Linked DNA regions of Macaca fascicularis. The protein of the gene in region 1 binds, or shares a complex with, the protein of each later gene. Links are inferred from orthologs where the notes say so. Each region holds a gene or a part of one and is shown on either strand. Other genes may lie near its edges.

Evidence for each region.
Region 2: the proteins of DLG4 (region 1) and HTR2C are in contact, whole or in part, in an NMR structure (PDB 2MHO), measured with the Rattus norvegicus proteins. The link is inferred for Macaca fascicularis from reciprocal best matches to the Homo sapiens genes DLG4 and HTR2C. Residues at the interface, in NP_062567.1 of Rattus norvegicus: Gly74, Leu75, Phe77, Ser78, Ile79, Ala80, Asn85, Pro86, His87, Ile88, Thr97, Lys98, His130, Val134, Leu137, Lys138; in NP_036897.2 of Rattus norvegicus: Val452, Val453, Ser454, Glu455, Arg456, Ile457, Ser459, Val460.

What each region holds. Positions count from the first base shown.
Region 1 is NC_088390.1:7,264,703-7,269,056, forward strand, and holds the start of DLG4 (disks large homolog 4), read right to left. Parts: upstream 2,832-4,354; 5' UTR 2,715-2,831; coding exon 2,529-2,714; intron 1,936-2,528; exon of another isoform or gene 1,445-1,935; coding exon of another isoform or gene 1,415-1,444; intron 1-1,414. Other genes in the region: ACADVL (very long-chain specific acyl-CoA dehydrogenase, mitochondrial), read left to right, coding at 4,282-4,343. UniProt on the Homo sapiens protein: Postsynaptic scaffolding protein that plays a critical role in synaptogenesis and synaptic plasticity by providing a platform for the postsynaptic clustering of crucial synaptic proteins.
Region 2 is NC_088395.1:121,112,496-121,116,143, reverse strand, and holds part of HTR2C (5-hydroxytryptamine receptor 2C), read right to left. Parts: intron 3,161-3,648; coding exon 2,847-3,160; intron 1-2,846. UniProt on the Homo sapiens protein: G-protein coupled receptor for 5-hydroxytryptamine (serotonin).

The DNA.
Region 1 (4,354 bases):
CCCCCAATCTCTTCCAACCATCCTCACACGTGCACAATGCATGTGTACACACATGTGTGAGTTTGTGGCAGGGAACATGTGTGTCCTCAGCTCCCTCCCATGAAAAGCTGCAGTTCCCACTAAATATAACCCCCTCCCCAGCCTGTGACTCACCCGGACCCCGCCTCCCCCGGCCCCCACTTCCTGTCCCACCCCCCAGCCCCCAGCTGCCTGCCACCCGCCCAAGCCTCCCTCCACACACCAGGCATCCAGCTCTCCAGTCCCAGAGTCTCCAAGCAGAGCCTAGGTATCCGCATCCCACCAGGAGCTCGCCTGTGCTCCATCCAGGATCTCCTGCCTTTGCCAGGCTCCAACCAGAGGGACACTCTTGCACAGATCCCCACCGCTGCCAGCCCTGCCCTCCTCCTACACCTTTTCACCCCGGTAACCTCAGTACCCTCGGTCATAAGTCCTCAGGGACCCTTAAATCCTGGTGTCCTCCCCCATCTTGATCCCAAGCGTCAGGGGTATCTGGAACAGTCCCCCCATCTGCTCTTCTCCCTCTTTCTTGACCAGGGCTAGATACAGTGTGGGAGGAGATGGGGACATTGGGCCCCTGCCTTTGGGCCACCCCCAAATTGTGCACCACCCACCCGGTCCCCCTCCTCAAATCCCCTCTCTCCCTAAGCCTCTCATCCTCCTCCTCAGAGGCTGGCAAGCTCGGCTGCTGCAATCTTCTGCCTCCTATGGGAATACCCCCACATCCTTGCCTCACCTGGTCCATTCCCTCAGGTAATCCCATGCCAGGGCCCCAGCCCTCTGACAACTTCTAACTACCTCCATTCTATATGACTGAACCCTAAATTAACAGTTCCCTCAAATTGAGAGTGCATCCCTAAATGCAGCCACGAGATGCTTGTTCCAGAGTCTGAAGGCCCACCCCTTCCCTGCCAGCTAACACCCCAGACCAGTCAGGCACTCACAACCAATAACCTTTACCCCCATGCCAGGAGCCCCCCAAAACTGGACAAGGCCCTTGGAAGCCAGCTTTTCCCTGGGGAGGAAAGAGGAACCCCCCCAGCATAGCCCACCTTCCCACATACACCAGCAGGACTTCCTTGTGAGCCAGGCTTCTCCTTAAATAAGTCTCCCTCAAACAGCGCTGGTGAACCCCGAAACCCGCCAGGCCCCCCAAACCATGGAATATCCTAAATTTTCCATTTCCCTACAGGTACAAAGGGATCACTCCAGGGGGCACCTGTGGCCAAATCCAGCATTTTCTCAGATGTGAACCCCAAAACTAAATTAAGACCCCCAAATACATCTTACTTCTGATGCTGCCACTCCAGGGACGCCAGTCCCAGATAAGGCCTACTAACCCCTCCCCACAAACTCATGCCCTCCCCCCAGTTTATAGCCCCCCCATCATGCTTACCTTGGTTGTCACTATACAGAGACAGTCCATGTTGGGGGGCCTGGCCGCGGCGGCGGGTAAGGGGCTCTGACTTCATCGGAGTTTCGTTCCTCCCCTCCGTGGGTTCTCACCCCTCCCCCCTCCGCACCCCACTTTTGCAGGGGGGGCCAGGATGGGGGGAGGGGTGAGAGGGGAAGGAGGGGGTTGGAGAAGGGAAGGGGAGGGGAGCGTGGGAGGGGAGGGAAGGGGGCCCTAAAAGGGGCTCCCCAATGGAGGGGAGGGGGCTTGGGGAGCACACCCCGATTCTCAGGAGGGGCGGGGGCACCGGGGGCTGGCAGCCCCGGAGTTCGGGGGCTGGGGCATGAGCTGGGGTGGGGGAGGGGAACTGGATTTCGGGGAGCCCCGGGGTAGGGGGGGATCTTGCCAAACGGCCAGGGGCTAGGGGCCGTGGCGGGGGAGTGGGGTGGGGGGGTTGGAAACGGCAGCGGCCGAGGGAGCCGTGGAGCCGAAGAGGGAAGGGGAGAGAGGAGGAGAGAGGAAGCAGGGGGAGGGAGGGAGGGAGCTAGGAGCCAGAATGGGGGGGTGCCTTGGCAGAGTTAACTCCTTCCGTGCTGGCAGGAACCCGGATAATGGGAAAGGAGATAGAAGCAGAAGCACAGAGGCCCTGAGGCAAACATGGAGACCTGGCCAGCCACCAGCGATGACAGCAAAGACGATGAGGCTGGATTTCATTTCTTAGAGAAGGAAGCACCTATAGTTGGGCTGGGAGCACCCATGGTTATTTGAATACGGGAGGGAGGCCACGACAGGCGGTAGGGGGTCGGGTATGAGGGAGGGGCTGCAGGAGGCAATCCCTGGGGGCCTAGTTCTGCCTCAGGTTTCTCAGGGGGAAACCTAAAAAGCCTTAGACTCTTTAGTGCCTGAAATTGAGGCAGCCAAAGAAAAGGAGGAAGAAAGGGAGAGGGGGTACAGGACCACAGAGAGTGCATTCTCGGTGCCCCAAGTCCCTGGGCCACCGACTCAGTCTTTCGTCTGCAGGGCCCCCAAGTTTCCATATAATATTAGCAATATTTGCCTCACCCCTCCAGCCCTGCCTGCCCCTCAGGAAGTAAGGCGCTCGCCCCCACCTCCTTACCTGACTCTCTGAGAGGGAAGCCTCATAATAGTCCAGGATGTCTGCCACAGAACAGAACTGAGTTACCTCCCCATTCCAGGCCTCTCCAGACACATCACCCCTGTCATCACCGCTGCTGTCCGGCTGGCAAGGGAGGAGCCCTTTCAGCCAAGGCTGGTCCACACTCATGGAGGACACCATAGGCATGACCCTGCTTGGGGCTCCAGCTTGGACCAAATGATTTCCAGGCTCCCAAACAGCCCCCGAAGTTCAGTAACGGACAGCCCTTGGAGGCCCAGGTCCCTCAGAAAACGGGCTACTCACCCAGCAAGGCCTGGAAGAGGTCGCTATGCAGCACTGTGAGGAGGGGGGGTGCCCACCGCAGCAGCGGGGGTGCCAGGAGCCAGAGGGCTGACCTGGGAGCTAGTGCGATGCAAGGAGAATTGGGACAGGGAAGAGGCCAACACAGGAAGACGAACACACTGTCACTTCATCTCCCCAGCCTGTGCCCTTCACCCCAAGCCCTATGGAAAGATTCAGGGAGAAGGATCCCTGAGCCCCAGCCCCCCACTTCAATCCCAGACCTCCCCTCCACAAGGACCCCTGTTTTTCACCTCTTGGTCTCTGGGACATCTCTCTCTTCTCTCACTTTAATCTCCCTAATCCTCCAGGATTGGAGTTGAGCTGCTTCTCCCCACTAAATTCCAGCTGTGAGTAAAGTAGGCCATCTCTGAACCGACCAGCTGTCCCATTCCCCCAGGTCCCAAGGCACCAGCGCCGCCACCATCTTGCTGCACACACCCTGGCCCGTCTCCCCATAGGCAGGCAGAACCTAGCCACACTCTCCTAAGAAGCCAGCAAAGAGGGCCTCCTCACAGAGGGCTCCAGCAGCTCAAAAAGAAGCTGACCCCAGCTCTCTCTCCTCCAGGGCCTCCTCTCACCCCAATGAGAATTGCAGAGAGAGGGGTAGAAATTGTTTGGAACTTCCTGACCTAGGGCTAGAGAAGTTGGGGTTTCACAGGTAAGAGGCAGGAGAATTCCTGCAGTTCCTCTCAGGCCCGGGAGGATTCCATCTGCCTGGGCACATGGTCTCTGGAAGTAACAGAGGGCAGAGACAGAAGGGAATGTTCAGGAAGATCTCAGAGGCTTTATTAAGGGAAGCGCAACGAACCTGGCGGGGCCTTCCCACTGGGAAACTGTAGCTGCTTCAAGAGTTAGTGAAATGGTTTACGTCTCAGAAGAATACACTTAGGGCACTCACACCCTAGCTTGGGTGCCCCCACCCCCCGCCCACCGTGCCCTCCCTTTTGTGTTGGCCGAGACAGATTTCATCAGGAACCTTAGAGTCTGTTTTTCGGTGCCTCTATTTCTGCCATCTACCTTACACTTCTCTTTCCCTACTTCTCTCTTCTAACCCCACCGGAGAAGCCCTCCCTTCAGTCCACCTCCATCCCTCTGGCTGCAGTGACTTAAGCCCCTTCCTCTTCTGTCCCATCCTATCCCATCACCCCGTCGGAGGACTAGACTCTAGTTCGGACGGGCGGGATTAAGGAGTTTGGGGGAGACGAGAGACGCTTGGAGATCCCCCTAGGTCAGCGGAACGCAGGGCCGGGCTCCAGGGAACTACAGCTCCCAGCATGCCCCGGGGCCCGCAACCGCCGCCGCCCGGTGCACTCTGGACGATGAGTCAGGGCTAGGAGGTCCAGGACTTGGGCGTACAGGACGCCAGAGCTGGGTCAGCGCTCCGTCCAGCGACGCCCGGAGAGACTCGGAGATGCAGGCAGCTCGGATAGCCCCGAGCTTGGGGCGGCAGCTGCTGAGGCTCGGGGGCGGAAGGTCTGTGTATG
Region 2 (3,648 bases), on another chromosome or scaffold:
AGTTCATTGTTTCAGGTCAGTTTTCTAGCACTGGGTTGAACCTATCAATATGTAGATTCAGATTCTCTTTTATTTCTGGAGGACATTCTTGGATTATAGTTTTAAATACTAATTATGTTTTACTATTTGTTCTTTTTCAAGAATTCTCATACATACATTTGATCATTTTTGCTGATATTTCATTTCAACCACTCTCTTTCTGACGTATTTTACTTCTTTCTTTGTCTCATCTTCATTCTCTTTGTTAACCTGTTTTTCTTCTATATTCCTTATTAAGTTTCATATGAATCAATTCTTTGTTGGGTGCTTTTCATGTTCATTCCTGATACGATGTCTTTTTCTTCTGTTTTATTTGTCCTGAATTCAGTTAATTTTGCTTCATGTTGTCCTATTTTTTGACCATTTCTATTCTGAGTTATTAGATTACTACTTCAAGGTACATTTTTAATACCTTAACGTGCTTGTTTGAAGATATTGTTTTGAAGTGTTTTGCTAGCATATTCTTCTGCTTGATCATTCTTTAGTGGAGGGAATGCTCATCAAATGCCTTCTTTCTATTCTCATATTCTGATTTCTTTCTACAGTACCTTGGTATAGATGAAGATTGGTTGCATCTCAGAATTTCTATGAACATGACTGGCAGTTTGTAGGTAGCTTCCAAAATTCCAAGCTCAAGAGCATCCTCTTCTCTTTGTGTATCAAAGTATGGTTTCTTTACTGGAGGGTCTTTGGGGGACAGTGGGAGACAGTAGAGGGAGGGATGATGGGCCCTAATATTTTGGCATTTTCCGTATTGTGAGATGATAAATTTCCCCCTCTTGCTTCTTTTTATTTTCACTGTGCTTTTTTTTTTTTTCAAGTCACCTCTTGCTTTCTTTGTTACTTTTTTCTACCTCCAAAGAATTAATTTTCTAATGCTGCTTTCTTGAGTCTTATGCATACTTTTCAGTACCTTATCTAAAGGCTAACCTTCTAGAGAAACGTTTCAGTATTTTCACACTTGGGGTAGACTTACTTGCTTGTGTTGTTGTTGTTGTTGTTGTTGTTTTTGAATGGATTCTTGCTCTGTCGCCAGGATGGAGTGCAGTGGTGTGATATCGGGTCCCTGCAACCAACCACCGCCTCCCGGGTTCAAGCAATTCTATTGCCTCAGCCTCTGGAGTAGCTGGGATTACAAGCACCCACCACCACGCCTGGCTAATTTTTTTGCATTTTTAGTAGAGACTGTGTTTCACCATGTTGGCCAGGCTGGTTTCAAATTCCTGACCTCAAGTGATCCGTCTGCCTGGGCCTCCCAGAGTGCTAGGATTACAGGCGCGAGTAACCACGCCTGGCCACTTGCGGTGAGTTTCGATCAATCTTAGGCTTCCTAATAGCTTTCCTCTAGTTTATTTCATGCTATTTTTCCTAGACTACTCTTCTACACAACAGCATGGGGTAGAAGCCTAATAGATAGTTCAATGTTATTTCCTGTTTGTTTTTCTACTTACAGGTAATTTGAAATTTGAATGTTCTCCACACTTAATGGTGGTATTGTGTAGTTTCATTGTTTTTTATATTGTTCTTTGTTTATTTGGGCAGGGGAATAGATATGTTAAGAGGCTTGGATTTATGCTAATACTATTATTTGGCCACTCACATTTTTTAAAAGGGAGAAGCTGGCAAAACAGACACCACAGAACAAAGTATACCTTCTAAATCACAGTTTCACTTCATTCCAGTAATCTTTTCTTAATTTTGGAGCAATAGAGTAGTAAAATGCCCACTGAGCAGATAAAATACTGGTGCTTTAAGGCTAATGCATCACTGAAACTTGATGAAGAATAAGAAAAGCATATTTCCTGAGAACACTTTATGAAATGCCTATTAAGATAATCTACTATTGCTGCAGGTTTAGAACAGGCTAATTAATTTTTACATTTCATGAGAGATTATTTTCTAGATGCATTTATTTTCTTTTAGGATTCGACAACTAGATACACTTTCAATATTATTTCTTCTAGTTTCATTATACACTCTAGGCAACTGGAAGTCTATTTTACTCCTTTGTGAGATAAGCATATTAGCAATTAAATTCAAACTGGGCTTTCCAACTTCCTAGTAAACATACTTTGTAGAATTGTGTATACAATTTGATTGTTCATCATAAATATTAGCTGGAAATGAAACCTTAGGTTAAAATGACCAGAATGAAGGGATGGAAGAAAATCAAAAGAAAAATTAAAAACCTCTTTAAAATCAATTGAAACTTTCAATGCCTGAATTTTTAAAGTGATGATATGAACTTGCACTTAAATACTTACTAATTAATTTTGCTATCTCTTGTCTCTTTGTAATAACAGAAATTATAGACTCCATGAACAAGAAGAATAGCTATTATCGAGTGCCTGTTTTGTGTCAAGCACTTAGTTTGGCAGCTTTAAAAAGGATTTCTTAAAATATATTTATTAAAGAGGATGAGCCTGGTTTTCCTTCTTTGTATCGGAGATGGTAGTAGGTATGTGTACTGCCCAGAACACAGGGCTTGAAAGATGTTTCTGTTACTGTCCCATTTGGTATACTGTAAGGCAACTAACTGTTCATTCACTGTTTACAAAGACACTAAGCTGGAGAGCATCTATGTATGATTTTAATATATTACAAAATGTCTGTTTTGCTTTTGGAAGACTGTTACTGATTTATTTAATAAATATGATACATACATCCAACTCCTTCTGTCACACAATTTGCTTTTGTCTTTTTCCAAATGTTACAAGTAAAATAATTAACTTTATGAGTGTTTACTATAATATGACAGCAATTTATAACCTTATATGAGATTGAAAAGTGAATAAAATTGTACTTACCATAAAGGATTGCCAGGAGAGACAGGGGCATGACAAGTAGTCCCACTAGCATATCAGCAATGGCTAGGGACATTAAGAAGTAATTGGTGGCATTGTGCAGTTTCTTTTCCATGCTTACTGCCATGATCACAAGTATGTTGCCACCTATTGTCATGATTATTATTACGACGATTGAAAGTGCTGGCCAGTTTTGTACCCCGTCTGGGAATTTGAAGCGTCCACCATCGGAGGTATTGAAAATGTCAGTTACTATAGCTGCTACTGGGCTGACAGAAATATCGCATTGCCAAACCAATAGGCCAATTAGGTGCACACTGAAAATTAAGAAGAAAAAAAAAAACAATCAGGTACATATTATATTACTTATACACAATGTGTTGCTCATGCAAAACAACTGCTTCTCCAAGGATCATTGTCATCATTATCATCATTGTCATCATCATTATTTCTACTCTCTTAATTAAATCTCAGTATTTCTTCTTTCTCTCCAAAAATCACCAACTTTTATTGAGTGATTATTATGAGTTAGGCACTTAGTTTGCTGAAACATGTATGTATAATCTCATTTGATCTTATTAAACAACCTCATGATGTCAGTTCTAATTTATATCCATCATGTAAATGAGAAGACTGAGTAAAGTTCAGAAAGGGTAAGTAACTTTCAAGCCCAGTCAGTAAGTGGCGGGGCCAGGGTCCATACTCAGGTCCCACTGATTTCAAAGTCTATGTTTTAAACTTTTACTGCAATCTGAAACCACAATATTGTTTGATTTGCTCTAATAGTCTATTCTTTATATTTTAA